2 linked regions of the Xenopus tropicalis genome follow. The protein of the gene in region 1 purifies or fractionates together with the protein of each later gene. This does not show direct contact. Links are inferred from orthologs where the notes say so. Each region holds a gene or a part of one and is shown on either strand. Other genes may lie near its edges.

Evidence for each region.
Region 2: the proteins of cdh2 (region 1) and jup purify together in Homo sapiens (co-immunoprecipitation; 4 studies listed by BioGRID and IntAct, with this or other methods). This does not show direct contact. The link is inferred for Xenopus tropicalis from reciprocal best matches to the Homo sapiens genes CDH2 and JUP.

Annotation. Positions count from the first base shown.
Region 1 is NC_030682.2:111,091,827-111,099,691, reverse strand, and holds the start of cdh2 (cadherin-2 precursor), read left to right. Parts: upstream 1-2,892; 5' UTR 2,893-3,323; coding exon 3,324-3,392; intron 3,393-7,865. UniProt on the Homo sapiens protein: Calcium-dependent cell adhesion protein; preferentially mediates homotypic cell-cell adhesion by dimerization with a CDH2 chain from another cell. Cadherins may thus contribute to the sorting of heterogeneous cell types.
Region 2 is NC_030686.2:7,365,293-7,373,033, reverse strand, and holds the start of jup (junction plakoglobin), read right to left. Parts: upstream 5,124-7,741; 5' UTR 5,076-5,123; intron 1-5,075. UniProt on the Homo sapiens protein: Common junctional plaque protein. The membrane-associated plaques are architectural elements in an important strategic position to influence the arrangement and function of both the cytoskeleton and the cells within the tissue.

The sequences.
Region 1 (7,865 bases):
TCTGTGGGCTAGAGATTGGTAGAATATACCTCTCACGAAGGCATCATAGTGACTTTTTCACTTATCATTCTGGTTACACTATTTTGTACATCTATTTTTGTAAACAGGTTTACCACTTCTTCAAGAAATCAGTATAGATTACATCATGGCCACATGAGTCCTGCTTACCAGGTCAAGGCCTGAACTAGCAATCTGTGGATTCTGGCAAATGCAAGAGGGGCTGCTGTAAGATGCCATAGACAGCCACTATTTATTGGGCTGGTAGGGACTGTTTGAGCCTCTGTGTAGTTGAAATGCCAGGCCCTGTATTGAATCCCAGGCCTGCACAGGTCTTTGCACCTCTGGGCACTCACCCACAGGACAGGGTGCAAAGTGCAAATAAAATGAAGGCTCATGCCTGCTTTTTGCACTTTGTGCATGATAAATACCCCTTAGGTCTTTGAAGGTGACAGGGGGACATCCTTGCAGATTACAGGAAAAAAAAGGTTTTAGGAATGTCCTCTTCGCTATCAGAGATGATAATCATGTCATAATAAAGAATTTTGTATTTTAAATTTGAGTGCAGTATTATTTACATTTGCAGCTCTGTACTGTATTGATACTAGGGAGGGTCTGCACTTCTGGGCTTCTTTTACAATAGCATTAAATATTACTCAGTAACTTATAGCATTCTGTGCTTTAAGGGCTCTGGCACACGGGGAAGATTAGTCGCCCGCGATTAACTCCCTGTTCGCGGGCGACTAATCTCCCCGAGTTGCCTAGCCCTGCCATCCCACCGGCGAACATGTAAGTCGCCGGCGGGATGGCAGATGCGGCGGCGCGATTTCGCGCAAATCGCCGAAAAAGACTCGCGAGTCTTTTTCAGCGACTTCCGGAAATCGCCCCGCCGCGTCTGCCATCCCGCCGGCGACTTACATGTTCGCCGGTGGGATGGCAGGGCTAGGCAACTCGGGGAGATTAGTCGCCCGCGAACAGGGAGTTAATCGCGGGCGACTAATCTTCCCCGTGTGCCAGAGCCCTAAGACAAAACATAGTAAGTAGCCTTTGCTCATAGGAACCAATCCAATATTTGCTTTTAATCAGTAAATGCTATTACTGATTGGCTGCTATAGGCTTCAAAAACTTTGCACCTCTTTGTTATATAATCTCCATAAAGTATATGATAGCAAACACAGTCTTAAGCAGGCAATGCACAGACCCAGATACAGAAGTTGAAAGAAATATGTGAATAAAGAGAGAGTTAGTTAAAGAGATATGGACATGCTTTGCATATTGGTGTTGCTGTAGTTCCCAGTTGCCCATGTTATTCTGTGCAAAATGTGGGTGTTTGTAGAACCAATAAAAAGAAATTATAGAAAAAAGTGCACCACTGCATTTCCCCATAGCAACCAATCAGATCAGCTATTTATTTTCTAACTTGTCAAATTAATTTCTGATTGGTTGCTATAGGGAACTGTGCTGGTACAATTTAGCACCTATAATAGTAAATGAGTAAGGATCTTCTGAAATTTAAAATCATGTCTGGAGACCTTCTCCTTATTTGTATGCAAAGCAGAAGGATTCCTGGGTTACCAACCCAATTTAGTTCCAAAAATTTCCATTTCCATGCATACCCTATAAGCTAAAGTTCATGCACTTAGGTTCAACGCACAGCTGGGGCCCTGAATAAGTTTGGTGAACTTTAGCCTTTAGGGTATGCCAGAAAATGCAATATTTTAATAAACATGGTTAGGAAAGGATTAGGAAAAGCAGGTAGTCAGTATATTATTATTATTGTGTAGCACTGTAGGTGTATTGCTGCACAGACAAATGAAGGAAAGTCCATAAGAAAGCGAGCAAGCGTCGGTGTAAGTGCAGCCATGCATGTGTGTGAGGCAGGGAGGCTGACAGGCACCTCACCAATCTGTGTGTGAGGCAGGGAGGCTGACGGGCACCTCACCAATCTGTGTGTGAGGCAGGGAGGCTGACGGGCACCTCACCAATCTGTGTGTGAGGCAGTGAGGCTGACGGGCACCTCACCAATCTGTATATGAGGCAGGGAGGCTGACGGGCACCTCACCAATCTGTATATGAGGCAGGGAGGCTGACGGGCACCTCACCAATCTGTATATGAGGCAGGGAGGCTGACGGGCACCTCACCAATCTGTATATGAGGCAGGGAGGCTGACAGGCACCTCACCAATCTGTGTGTGAGGCAGGGAGGCTGACGGGCACCTCACCAATCTGTGTGTGAGGCAGGGAGGCTGACGGGCACCTCACCAATCTGTGTGTGAGGCAGGGAGGCTGACGGGCACCTCACCAATCTGTGTGTGAGGCAGGGAGGCTGACGGGCACCTCACCAATCTGTGTGTGAGGCAGTGAGGCTGAGGGGCACCTCACCAATCTGTATATGAGGCAGGGAGGCTGACGGGCACCTCACCAATCTGTATATGAGGCAGGGAGGCTGAGGGCACCTCACCAATCTGTATATGAGGCAGGGAGGCTGACGGGCACCTCAACAATCTGTATATGAGGCAGGGAGGCTGAGGGCACCTCACCAATCTGTATATGAGGCAGGGAGGCTGAGGGCACCTCACCAATCTGTATATGAGGCAGGGAGGCTGAGGGCACCTCACCAATCTGTATATGAGGCAGGGAGGCTGAGGGCACCTCACCAATCTGTATATGAGGCAGGGAGGCTGAGGGCACCTCACCAAACTGTGTGTGAGGAGTGACAGGAGCGGGCGGGGCGCTGCAAGTGAGAGCCGCCCGGGATTCATCCAGCCAGCGCCTTGCATTGTTATCAGTGAGTGAGGCACCCGGGGAAGGAGGAGGAGGAGGAGGAGGGAGCAGGGGAGACACTGGGAACCAGTGAGTGTGATGTTAGTGGGAAAGTGCTGTGTGTGAGACGGAGCTGGACCAGCGGCTAATAAGGACTAAAGGCTCTCCCTTCCATCTCCCCGTCTACCTGCAGCATCTGCCGCAGCGACTCTCGCTCCCCTGGATTGTCTCCTACTCTGGGTGTTTGCCATTCCGCCTCCCGTTATCCCCCGCTTTGGAATATAAGTTGGGAAACAAAAGGAAGAGGATAGCCTATGGTTGGCAGCCTTGATACCCATCAGCGGCGGCAGCTTTGAGGGACTCCTCCCGTGGGGTGGGTGCAGACTGCAAGAGGATCCCCTGGAAATCACCCGGAGCTTTGTGTTTTGTTATTCGAGTCCCGCTGCCCATGCCCGGCTCCCCGGGCACCCTGCTGCCTCTGTAAGCCTGGACTATACCGGCGGCTCCTCGTTGTTCATCTACAGTCAAAGCCATCTCCCTCCCCGACCCTTAACAGCAGCACCATGTGCCGGAAAGAGCCCTTCCTGCTACCGACTGCCCTCAGCATCCTAGCGGCCCTGATGCTGCACCAGGTAAAGCCCGTACGGCCCCGGGGCTTGGCTACACGGTGCGCTCTGTGCGTCTGGGTAACATGGGCACCGCCAGCCTCACTCCCAATGCAGCGGCTGCACTGCTTCCCGGCGACAGTGGAGGGTTGGTGGGAGATGCAGTCCGACAATATAGGAATGTAGCCCTGTGCTGGGGGAGATTATGGTGCCTCTATGTTCATACCCACCTCCCTAAAACCGCCCCGTAGGCCCAACAGCGGCCGGTAACTTGTACACTTGCTCCTAGGAGCCTGAGTGGCGCCTCCCAGACACCTGCCGCTAGCCCGGCATGGCACACTCCCCCCTGCCGCTAGCCCGGCCTGGCACACTCCCCCCTGCCGCTAGCCCGGCCTGGCACACTCCCCCCTGCCGCTAGCCCGGCCTGGCACACTCCCCCCTGCCGCTAGCCCGGCCTGGCACACTCCCCCCTGCCGCTAGCCCGGCCTGGCACACTCCCCCCCCCTAGACACGGCCGCTTGGTACCGGCGATGCCAGGGAGCGGGTTCGCCTGAGGTCTCTCGCTGCCCCTGTCCCTCTTGGCTCTCCCGCTCATGGCAGGTGGCGCTGGGATGCGCTTGTTCCCCGGTCCCCTCTGCCTGCGGATAAGGCACTAGGGCTAAGGGCAACCGTTAGTATTAGTATTAGTAGGGGGTACGGGGCATTCAGTGTACAGGGAGAGACAACAATGAACAAGGGGCTACTGTCCTTCTTCCCCACAGAGACATGAAACAATTTATGTCAACTTGTCCCTTTTGTAATGTCTGTCTGGATTGAGATGCTAATATTGCCTTTTATGTGGCCTTTACATTTATATATTGGGTACTCCATGCTGTGGGGGTAAAACCCCTCCCCCCAGAAGTGCCTGAAATTACCCTTCCAGCCCCACACTGATACCCAGCCTGCTCAGCTCTTCCATGTGCTTGGGGTGCCCGCAGTGCTTCCATGAATACTGCCCACTGGTACCAGGGGCTACAGGGCAGTGTATAAAAGTGCCTGTGACTTTGTGTGTGTGTGCTGGGGGTGGTGTGGTGGGGGGTTGGTTGTGATTGCATACAATAACCCAAATGCTGCTGCTGTGTGAGACAGTGTGTAAAAGCTAAAATGAAGACTCCTGGCAACAGTAGCACAGATGGTGCAGATCTTTGTTGCATAATACTATTTACTAGTAGCTGGAGGGAGATCCTCAATCTCTTTAGCTGCCTGACCCTCTCTCCTCTCCATTCCTTCTCTGCTCTACTCTATCAGCAAATGCAAGTGTGTAAGCTTTATATTTATTTATCTACATTCTCTTTGCCTCCTATTACTTTCCTAGCCTTTATATCAGGCACATTGTACCTCTAATAAGCTCCTGGGCATTCCATGAAATAGACACTGTCTCTGATTTTAAGGGGCGGTGGTCTTCAAGGCTAACTGCCTACTTTGTGTGGGTGGGCATATTTGGCATTAAAGGATCTCTTTGTATCTCATAGTAACAATAAGGTGAGGGGAGTGGTGCTCCTTGGAACATTCATTCCCTGCATCATCTGCTTTATTGTTTTGCTAACTCTGGATATTTGTTACAACTATTTTTCCTTTATGGCTGTTTATTTGCAATTGCCTTTCCACCCACCCCTATGTCTCTGTACACCCCTTCCATTTCCATGTTTCACTCTCCGTTTTCTCTTTTGTTTTTTTTTTTCAAGTCTGTAGCTCTTGCCCTGTGCCCTGTTCAGTGGAGTTTCTGCATCTCTGCAGTTACTGTCCATGGTGTTTAAATTGGAGCCAGCATAGCCGTAGGGATTACTTAGAGTCTGACTCCAGGTTTTACCGTCTGTAAGCCCTAATGTGCTGACTGTCTTCCTGCTTTTATATGCCTTTTGTATGGCGTATCTCCTCTGCAAAATGCTTTTTAAGAAGTCACCAATCTCATCCATGTTTCTCAAAAAAACCCACAACCCCAATCAGACAAATCTTTGCCACCTGAATTTTTCAATAATTAATAACCGAAAAAAAAGCAAATTTTACACACATTTCTCAATGGAAAGGCACATAACTAACCCACTAACCCCAGATTTTTCCCAAACAAGGAATGAATGAACTCCTTTACTCCTGACTGCAGCACAGTACATGGGAAAACGCATTGAGTCTAAGGCTCAGCCCTTGCCACAAGATGCAGTAGGTGCCTTTCGGAACCAATTACTATTCCAATGACTTTTAGAATTGCTTTATTTCTTAATTAAAATAAATAAATCACCCTCTAAAAGTCTTATTATTAGTTTAAGTGCATTTTCTGGTAAGGTTGTATAGAGAGTGATCAGACAGATGGTGTGATTTTGGCTGGGCACAGGTTTAAGGCCTTGTAAACCTTACAGAGTACAGATTGTGCTTCAGTATTCTGGAAAATGGGTTTATATCTCGACACATTGTAATACATATTTGCAGTGTGATTCCCTTATTCCTTGGAGAAATATTTTAAGTTACAATAATTACATTGTTCAGCATTTATGTACACTTATATCTGGCTGTAGTGACATTCGGGATTTATAGTTATTTTTGCTGTTAAAGTTACTCCAGGCAGTGAATAAGGTTCCATAGCATGATGTATTGCATAGGTCTGTGACATTTCATTCCTATGGATTTCATGTGAGAAGGTGACATTTGGTTGGGAGATTTTAGATAAGCTTTATTCAGGGTAAGTTGAACATTTGAGCAGGAAATGGGCTTTGTTTTATCAATATCAGAGGCATCAGTAATGTTCCAGCTGTGGAATTTAATTTCCCTTTTCTGTTTTAATATTCTCACTGGTATGTGTCATGCAGCACAATGGAATGTCACAATTCAAAGTATAGGGCACTTGCTAATTCTAAGACCAAAGATGTTGGGAAAGAGTATAGATCCACATTGAAATAAGGAAATTAAGCTGACGGCTCAGAACAAGCAAGTGTTATTGGCAAGATGAACTATTTTGCACTGCAGAAACAATCCCATTTCAACTCGGAGGCTCTGCCCATGTCCACAATCCTCATTTATGTATAAAGAAATGATTTAGAGTCATAGGTTTTAAATACATAAATCATTCAGTTAGTTTTTATTGAAAATATGTGCCAAAACCCATATAACAATAATAACAGGGATTCACTAGATTCAGGATTGTAGTTGGGATTTTTATTTACTTTTTTTTTTTGCAAGGTTTGGAGGAAGTGGATTTTTGGGAAACAAATCTGTATCCTTAATGTCATGTGACTTAAAGTGCTTAATAACTGAGGTGTCCAATGCAATTCTGTTCTCAGATCTGAATATGCAGATTATTTTAATGTTATCCAGGAACACTTGCACATTACTGGGCTGCATTTATTGAAGCCAGCATGTTCTTCAGCACTCTTTGTAAGCTCTTTTGGGCAGGAATCTCTTTATCTCTTATATCAGTTATTGGTAGATTTGAATGTAATTATGTATGCTCAGTGTATATAGACATTTATTGAACCTGGCTGCAGAATATGTCGGTGCCTAATAAATACATGTTAATTATAATACTAATAATAATAACCCTTCTTGCTGGAATTACTAGAAATATCAATGTGTTTTCACATTATCTGGTAAATTTAAATTATTGGTCAGTTTAGTTTGTCATGTGGACAGATATTTATTTGGTGTTATTCTTAAAGGAACAGTTGAGTGCAAGAATAAAACCGGGAAAATAGATAGGCTGTGCGAAATAAAAACTATTTCTAATATAGCTGGTTAGGCAACAATGTAATCTATAAAGGCTGGAGAGAGCAGATGTCTAATGTAACAGCCAGAACACTACTTCCTGCTTTCAGCTCTCTAACCTCTTAGTTAGTCAGCGACTTGAGGGGGAGGGGCATATGGGACATAATTGCTCAGTTAGTTTATGAGCATGCAGGTCAGATTCAAAAGCAAACTGACTGAACAGTTATATCCCATATGCCCCTCCCCCTCAAGTCACTGATTGGTTACTGCCTTTATAGATTACATTTTTGGCTTACTAACTATATTGAAAACATTTTTTATTTTGCACAGCATTTTTACACTAAACTATTTCTTTAAATCCTATGATTAGAAAATTAATTTAAGACGGAAGATTTACTTCATCATCAATTATTATTGTAGTGCAAACAAAGTACGCATCACTGTACAATAATATTACATCAAACAATGGTTACAGAATGCAAAATAGTATTAGAGTGCCTTTTCTATAAAAGTTTACTGCTAAAGCTATGATGTAACTGTGTGTAAGCAGACCCTGTGGCAGTAGGGCCCAGGAGCCTAGCAAGGAAAACATGTTGTGTAGGGGAGCTCCAAAATATATTTACAGGGGGGATGGGAACTTTTAGGTGCACCACTGATCCAAAGATCAGTCTAGATTAGAGGTTACTTATTTGGTGTCCTTATGAAACAAAATAACATATAACTATATGTTCATTATAGTCACCCAGCTGTAGCTCTAAGGACAAAACA
Region 2 (7,741 bases), on another chromosome or scaffold:
GAAAAAAGTTCCAAAAAGTGTCAGTGCCGGAGCGGAACTAACTGATCAATGCTGACAAGTATGGCTTTATCCTCCCCCCCAAGCACACATTCAGATGATCCATCATGTCACCTAAAAGTCACTTATTAAGAGATTTGTGACATTTTGGGAGCAGATCAAATACAGGAAGTTGCCCTGTTTCACCAGCAAACTCAATTACAACAAAGGGCAGAGCCCAGTGATAGATTGCAAGCCCAACATCATTTTGTGCAAGGCTAAAGGCAGCAGGCGATGTCAAGTCCACACTGTAAGGCCCCAAGCCCAGTCCTTATGGCACCTTGCGAACTGAGGGTATTTATTAACCAGGAATGTTGGTGGCACAGAGGCAAATGGTTGGAGTCACAAAAACTATTGTTCTTTGAAGCTACAATTTCCTTGTTATTGTTACTTTTTCTGAATTATCTTTCTATGCAGTGCCTTCTCCTATTCATTCCAAGCCACTGCCTGGTTGCTAGGGTAATTTGGTCCCTAGCAACCATAAAGCCACTAAAACTGTAAACTGGAGATTTGCTAAATATAAAGCTACATAATTCAAAAACCACAAATAAAAAATGAAGACCAAGGGCTGAAAGTTTAATTCAAAGGTGAACAACCCTTTTGAATCTCATACTGTGAAATGCACCTTAATTTTTCCAGTGAGATTATCTAGGAACACCCATTTGCTTATGGATTCTTACAACACATCTCTATCCAGGCTGGTAGCGTCTCTGCCTCACCCAAGGCCCGGCCCTTGTCTGACTGCCTTCTAGCTGGAAGCTTTCCCATGCCATAGTCTGGGTGTAAGCACCACATGGAGCATTAACATGAGTAACAGCTTTATTGCCTGGGTTCCATAGAATGCACGTAACGTTAATGGCACCAACACTGCTGTAAACTCTGTATAATAAACACTATATTGCCTTAATTTAATGCAATAAAACAATATTGCACTAGTGAGCTCCAGTGGTGCCAAGATGCCAATTCCACCTCTCATATAATGTGACTTGTAAGGTAGGGGAATCACAGAAGTGTGCAAGGCACTGTGGGAAATGGAGTCTTAGCTGGAGGAGAGCAAGGGGGAAATTGGAGGGTGATAGGGGCTGAAGAATAAAGGGCTGAGGGGAATATGCAAGGCACTGTGGGAAATGGAGTCTCGGCTGGAGGAGAGCAAGGGGGAATTGGAGGGTGATAGGGGCTGAGGGGAATGTGCAAGGCACTGTGGGAAATGTAGTCTTAGCTGGAGGAGAGCAAGGGGGAAACTGGAGGGTGATAGGGGCTCAGGGGAATGTGCAAGGCACTGTGGGAAATGTAGTCTTAGTTGGAGGAGAGCAAGGGGGGAAATTGGAGGGTGATAGAGGCTGAAGAATCAAGGGGTAAGGGGAATATGCAAGCCATTGTGGGAAATGGAGTCTCAGCTGGAGAAGAGCTGATTTAGGGCCAAAAGCAGGGGTAGACAGGAGCAGCACATGCCTTGGGCACAGTTGGTATGGGGGGAATTGGAGGAAGAGTGGCCAAGAGCATAGGGGCAGCAGGAACGAGGGGCGGGGGGGGGGGGCATTTATACTTAAAATGATAATCTGTATTTAAAGCAAAAGGAAAACTTGATTAGGATTCCATTTCATAATACAACATGCAGGGAGGTACATTATCCGAATGATGCAAACAAGCAGTATTCTAAGAATTTGTAATGTAATTATTGCGAGCTTGTTGTACTGGAGCGCAAAACGGTTATCTAGTTGCCGTGGTTATTAAGCCTAGCAACCAGGCTGGGGACCAACTGCACAATTCCACCTATAAGATATTAAAAGATAATTTTGAGGTGAGCCTCTGGATGATTCACTGTAACACAGAATCAGTTTTCCTAAGGTGTCTCTTACGAGTGCCCCTCTGACACGAGAGGAGGATCCTCCTTACCGGTGATTGATCTCTCGCTGCCTCTGCAAAGTCACTGAACTCCATCCCCCCCCACATCCCCCCCACATCCCCGGCTGCTTTTGTCAGCACTGAAAGAATTCACACCATCCCATGAAAATTCCAAGCCTGACTCATGCACCCACCCCTCCTGACAACAGCCGCAGCATTCCTGCTGCCCCATCCACACAATATTGCCCCCCTTATTAGTCACTACCTGTATCACCTGCTTTCCCACACCCAGGTTTTATTTCCCCTTTCCTTCTTAAGTTACTGATGCTGAACTGCGACATTCAGTGATCTTGGGACAGAGATCAGTTATAGTTATATACAGAACACCCCCAGATAAGGGCAACCCTAGCATTAACATACACCCCCCCCCCACCCATTGGAGGTCTAGAAAACCTCCCAGAATTCCTCTCCCAGATTCTTTCAATCACCTAAAGCAACTGTTAATCTTTTGGGCTCAATGTGCCGCTGTCTCCTCTGGCAGCGAGAAGGGAAAACACAAAGCCCGTGGCCATGAATCATTTCAAATGATGGGCTCACTCCTGGCACTGTCCTTAGAATGCCTGGCACAGTGACGGAGCGAAAGCTTTATATGTGGGCGGGGGCACTATCTACTAAATAAAGCGCACAAAGTCCACTACTGTAAAAAGCCAAACACTGATATATGTGACTTTGTTAAAGTGACGGCAATGGAAAAGCCCATTAACTGAGACAATATTTGTCGAAAACGTAACTTCCTCCTAAGTGAACGCAACCCCTAGAACTCCCATAAAAACGCACAAATGAAATGACAATGTATCAAAATGTTACGTACATGTATTCTGTAATTCTGCTTTGTGGGTCGATGCTTTACGCCGCCCAAATTACAGATATTTAATGACTTGATCTGCTTGGCCAGAAGCAACATTTGTGCTGTGTGTGTCTGTGACTGGGGGCCACAATGGATCGGAGAATGTCGTTTCCCCCTCAGGGAAGAGTCTGTGCTGTGTAACGCCACTCCCTCACTACATACTGGGATGTCAGGTCGTGGGGAGGGGGGAGGTCACATTGTGTATTGTCATACCGCTGTTTGGTGGGGCAGGGGTGGGTTGCCTGCGTCTGCACAATAGATTTTGTATTTATATACAGTATAAGGTTAGTTACTAAATATTCCATTATAGGGTTAAGCCAATATAAACCCCCCTCCCAATTATGACCAAGTTGGACCTACTCAAAGGATATCTGCGCGAAAGTCAGCTACATGTGGTCGGTAAATCCAGTCGGGCAAGGACCCTTCTCAGCTTGAAACCCAGTAGTTGCCAGTTGGGTCTATCAGACCAGTTTGGGTGGCTTAATGGGGTAATTCTCCGCTTATTTAGCAACCTCACCAAACGAGTAGATCTTGCGGTGGGTGTATGGGCAGCTCTACAGTGTATGGATAAAGGATTACTGCTAGATAAACAGGTTATGCTAACGAGGGCAGAATCCAATGGCCATATATTGTTACACTACAATTCCCATGATGCACCAACAGCCTTCAGCTGGCAGCTGTAGCGAAAAGCACAGTACATGCTTTATCCGCCGTAGTAGCAAGTCCAACCTGCTCTCCCATAGGCATTAATAGAAGAAATCATCACTTGCTATGAAGGCTGGAATAATGACACAATGTAGCAATACACAGGAACAGAGCAGCACAACAGGAGGTATTTAAGAAACAACAACAAACATTCAGACAGAGAGAGAGACTTTCCCTCCATGGGATCAGTGTGGATGGGTGTAGCCAGTATATACATTTGCCTGGGGTAAATACAAAGGTAACACATGAGGTGATAGGGGAAGGGTGAGAAGAGCAAGCACAGGAGGGGTTAAATGAGCAGGTGTTACACCAGTGAAGGGGTTACAACAAGGAGAGAAAGGGTTAACCCATAGATAAGGAACAGGCTGAAATATAAGGGGAAACTGAGAATATTATTTTTTTTTTTTAGGGACTAATAGTGATGGGCAGCAAGCAGTGAGGCATATGGACTATCCCAAGCTATCATTTACAGCAGGTTAGCTGCCATAGAATACTGAGAGTTGCAGTTCAGCAGCAGCAAGGCATATGGACTATCCCAAGCTATCATTTACAGCAGGTTAGCTGCCATAGAATGCTGAGAGTTGCAGTTCAGCAGCAGTGAGGCAATGGACTATACCCAGTTATCATTTGTAGCAGGTTAGCTGCCATAGAATGCTGAGAGTTGCAGTTCAGCAGCAGCAAGCAGTAAGGCATATGGACTATCCCAAGCTATCATTTCTAGCAGGTTAGCTGCCATAGAATGCCGAGAGTTGCAGTTCAGCAGCAGTGAGGCAATGGACTATACCCAGCTATCATTTCTAGCAGGTTAGCTGCCATAGAATTCTGAGAGTTGCAGTTCAGCAGCAGTGAGGCAATGGACTATACCCAGCTATCATTTCTAGCAGGTTAGCTGCCATAGAATTCTGAGAGTTGCAGTTCAGCAGCAGTGAGGCAATGGACTATACCCAGCTATCATTTCTAGCAGGTTAGCTGCCATAGAATGCTGAGAGTTGCAGTTCAGCAGCAGTCAGGCATATGGACTATCCCAAGCTATCATTTCTAGCAGGGTAGCTGCCATAGAATGCTGAGAGTTGCAGTTCAGCAGCAGTCAGGCATATGGACTATCCCAAGCTATCATTTCTAGCAGGTTAGCTGCCATAGAATTCTGAGAGTTGCAGTTCAGCAGCAGTGAGGCAATGGACTATACCCAGCTATCATTTCTAGCAGGTTAGCTGCCATAGAATTCTGAGAGTTGCAGTTCAGCAGCAGTGAGGCATATGGACTATACCCAGCTATCATTTCTAGCAGGGTAGCTGCCATAGAATGCTGAGAGTTGCAGTTCAGCAGCAGTCAGGCATATGGACTATCCCAAGCTATCATTTCTAGCAGGGTAGCTGCCATAGAATACTGAGAGTTGCAGTTCAGCAGCAGCAGCTCAGAGACTAGGAAAGCTAAGCCCGAACCAACAGCCCTACAGGCTCCATAGGAGGAAAGAGAAGGCGCTTCAGGCTAGAGGCAGGGAAGGACACGCCATAGACCAAGAGATGCCAGTCTCCCCAGCCCGCCCCAGCCCACACACACAGCGATAATGGCAGCTCCTTACCCTGCGTTGTGAAGCGCTGGAAGAGGCCTCTGTATCCCCACAATTCAGTCAGGAACTCGCCCAGACCTGAACACTCCAACAACTAAGCCCTACACCGAGCTGTCAGCAGCACCCCCCACCCAACCAGCAACGCCCCGCCCCCCAGCCTGACAATAACCACTGCCCGGCCGTCTCTTGCTTTCAATTGGAAAACATGTGAATCAGTCACAACGCCCAGTCCTTCCCAAACGCCCACCCCACGAAGCCCACACTTTCCCCATTGGCTGCCTTCGCTGGCAATCATTCTTGTGTTTCACTCCATGCCTATTGTAATCTGCGATTGGGCACAAGTTGGGAAGGTGAACTCTGATTGGAGGAGTTCTATATCAATCCAAATAACGCCGTCCAATAGCTGCGGAGGGGGGCATTGCCCGCAGACACGGGTGTGACCTGTAATGCCCTCCTTTAAATGACGTTATGGGCTTCACCTGTGCAGGTGAGTCAGGCAGAAAGAGAGAGACAAGGGCAGCAGACAGGGAGGGGAGGTGTGAGCTGTAGTTTCTGTTATGGAGGTTTTTATAGGGCAACTGGTGCTGAGTAGGGGCGTATTCAGGGGCTTCTGATACGCAAGCCTTCCATTCTGTCAGGAGAACAAGAACACTACAAAGTCTCTTTATTATTAGTTCAACTCATTTCTGCTTTCCTTATTATAAGTGTTCCCTTATTGTGAGACTATACTATCTGATGGCAACTCTCCAGCTATTGGACTACAACTCCCAGCATGCCTTGACAGCCTATGTTTCCACACATTAAGAGATTCCCTTACAGTACAGCTTTGAAATAGTACATATTAGCCTCTGTACTCTGTACAGCAGGGGCCCTCAAACTCAAACAGGGGGCCAGTTCACGGTCCCTCAGACTGTTGGGGGGCTAGTCTTCAAACTACGCCTGCGTCCTCACCCCTGGCTACTACCTGTCTGCCTCGGCGTAGTCCCAGTGGGGGGCTGGGTAAATGACCTTGGGGGGCCATTGGCCTGCGGGCTGTAGTTTGAGGACCCCTGAACTACAGCTACCCATAACAGTTGATGGTGAGTGCTGGGAGTTGTAGTTTAGGCTGCTAATCGCTGCTTTTTGCTTTATATCTAGTTATGCTTAAACCATACGCTGACATCAATACAATGTCTGGTAGCTAAATGACTACATTAGGATGTAATTATGAAACAGATCAATCCCACCCCTGCCCCACCAAACAGTGGAATGACAATACACCGTGTCACCTCCCCCTCCCTACGACCTGACATCCCAGAATGTAGTGAGGGAGCGGCTCTTCCCTGGGGGGTGAGAACTAGACTCCCTGCTCCGCTGTGGCCCCATAGGGTCAGCAGTACAGTGACAAGCAACTGTATTTACCAGGGGGCACCCTACAGAACACAGGGAAGTTTCACTTGTACATAACAATGATACATTGTCCTCACTGGAGTTAAATGGGAGTTCCGGGGTTGTGTTCACTTGGGAGGAAATTATGTTTTTTAATGGGCACAAGCAAATATTGGCTTTCCAATTGCCGTCACTTTGAATGTAAAGTGAACATATAGCTCCCTACTGTAGTGGACTTTATTCACTGCATTTAGTAGATCATGCCCTTACCCCCCCTCCCCAACATACAGTGCCCGGTTAATGGGAATATTCTTTCAATGACTGTACCAGACAGTCTTCAGCCGTGTGAGAACAGTGCCCATGATTTGAAATGATTCATAGCCAATGGATTAGAGATTTTTCTTCTTGCTGCCAGAGGAGACAGCAACACATTGAGCCCAAAAGAATAAAGGGGTTGTTCACCTTTTTATTTACTTTTTTGTTTAGCACTTCAGAAGCTCTCCAGTTGCTAGGGTTCAGTTTAACCTAGCAACCAGGCAACAATCTAAAAAAGAGAGATTGGAATATTAATAGTGGAGGGCCTAAATAAATAAGGAATAAAAAGTAACAATAATGATAAAATTGTAGCCTCACAGAGCAATAGTATTTTGACTGCCAGGGTCAGTGACCCCCATTTGAAAGTTGGAAAGAGTCAGAATAATTCAAAGATGATTAAAAAAAATAAAGACCAATTAAAAAGTTGCTAAGAATAGGCCATTCTTTTATAAAGCGCCAACATATTCCGCAGCGCTGTACAATAGGTATGTGGGAGAGGAATTCTGGGAGGTTTTCCACACCACCAATGGGGGTGGGTTGTTAATTTTAGGGGATGTTCTGTATGTGACTGTAAGAGCATTGATTGTCAGTTCAGCATCAGTAACCTGCGAAGGGAAGGGGAACCAAAACCTGCTCCCAAAAAGCAGGTGAAAGAGGTAGTGACTAATAAGGGGGGATGATTTTGTCTGGATGGGGCACTATTATTACTAAAGAGTTGGCAGGAGGGGTGGGTGCCTGGAATTTTCACGGAATAGTGTGAATTATTTTAGTGCTGAGCGGAGAGGCGGTGCCTGTGCTAGTAAATTATGGATGCTCAGTTGGCCACAGGGATTCCTCCCATGATTCCTTGAGTTAAAGTTTAAACCGCTAATGTTTTTGCTCTAAGGGAAGAAAAGAGTGTACCATGGGGCATGGGGGGTACCTTTGGTTACATGGCGGCTTTCCCTGCATTCAGGGCTGACCGTAGCCAGCAGGGAGTGGGCCGGGAGTACCAG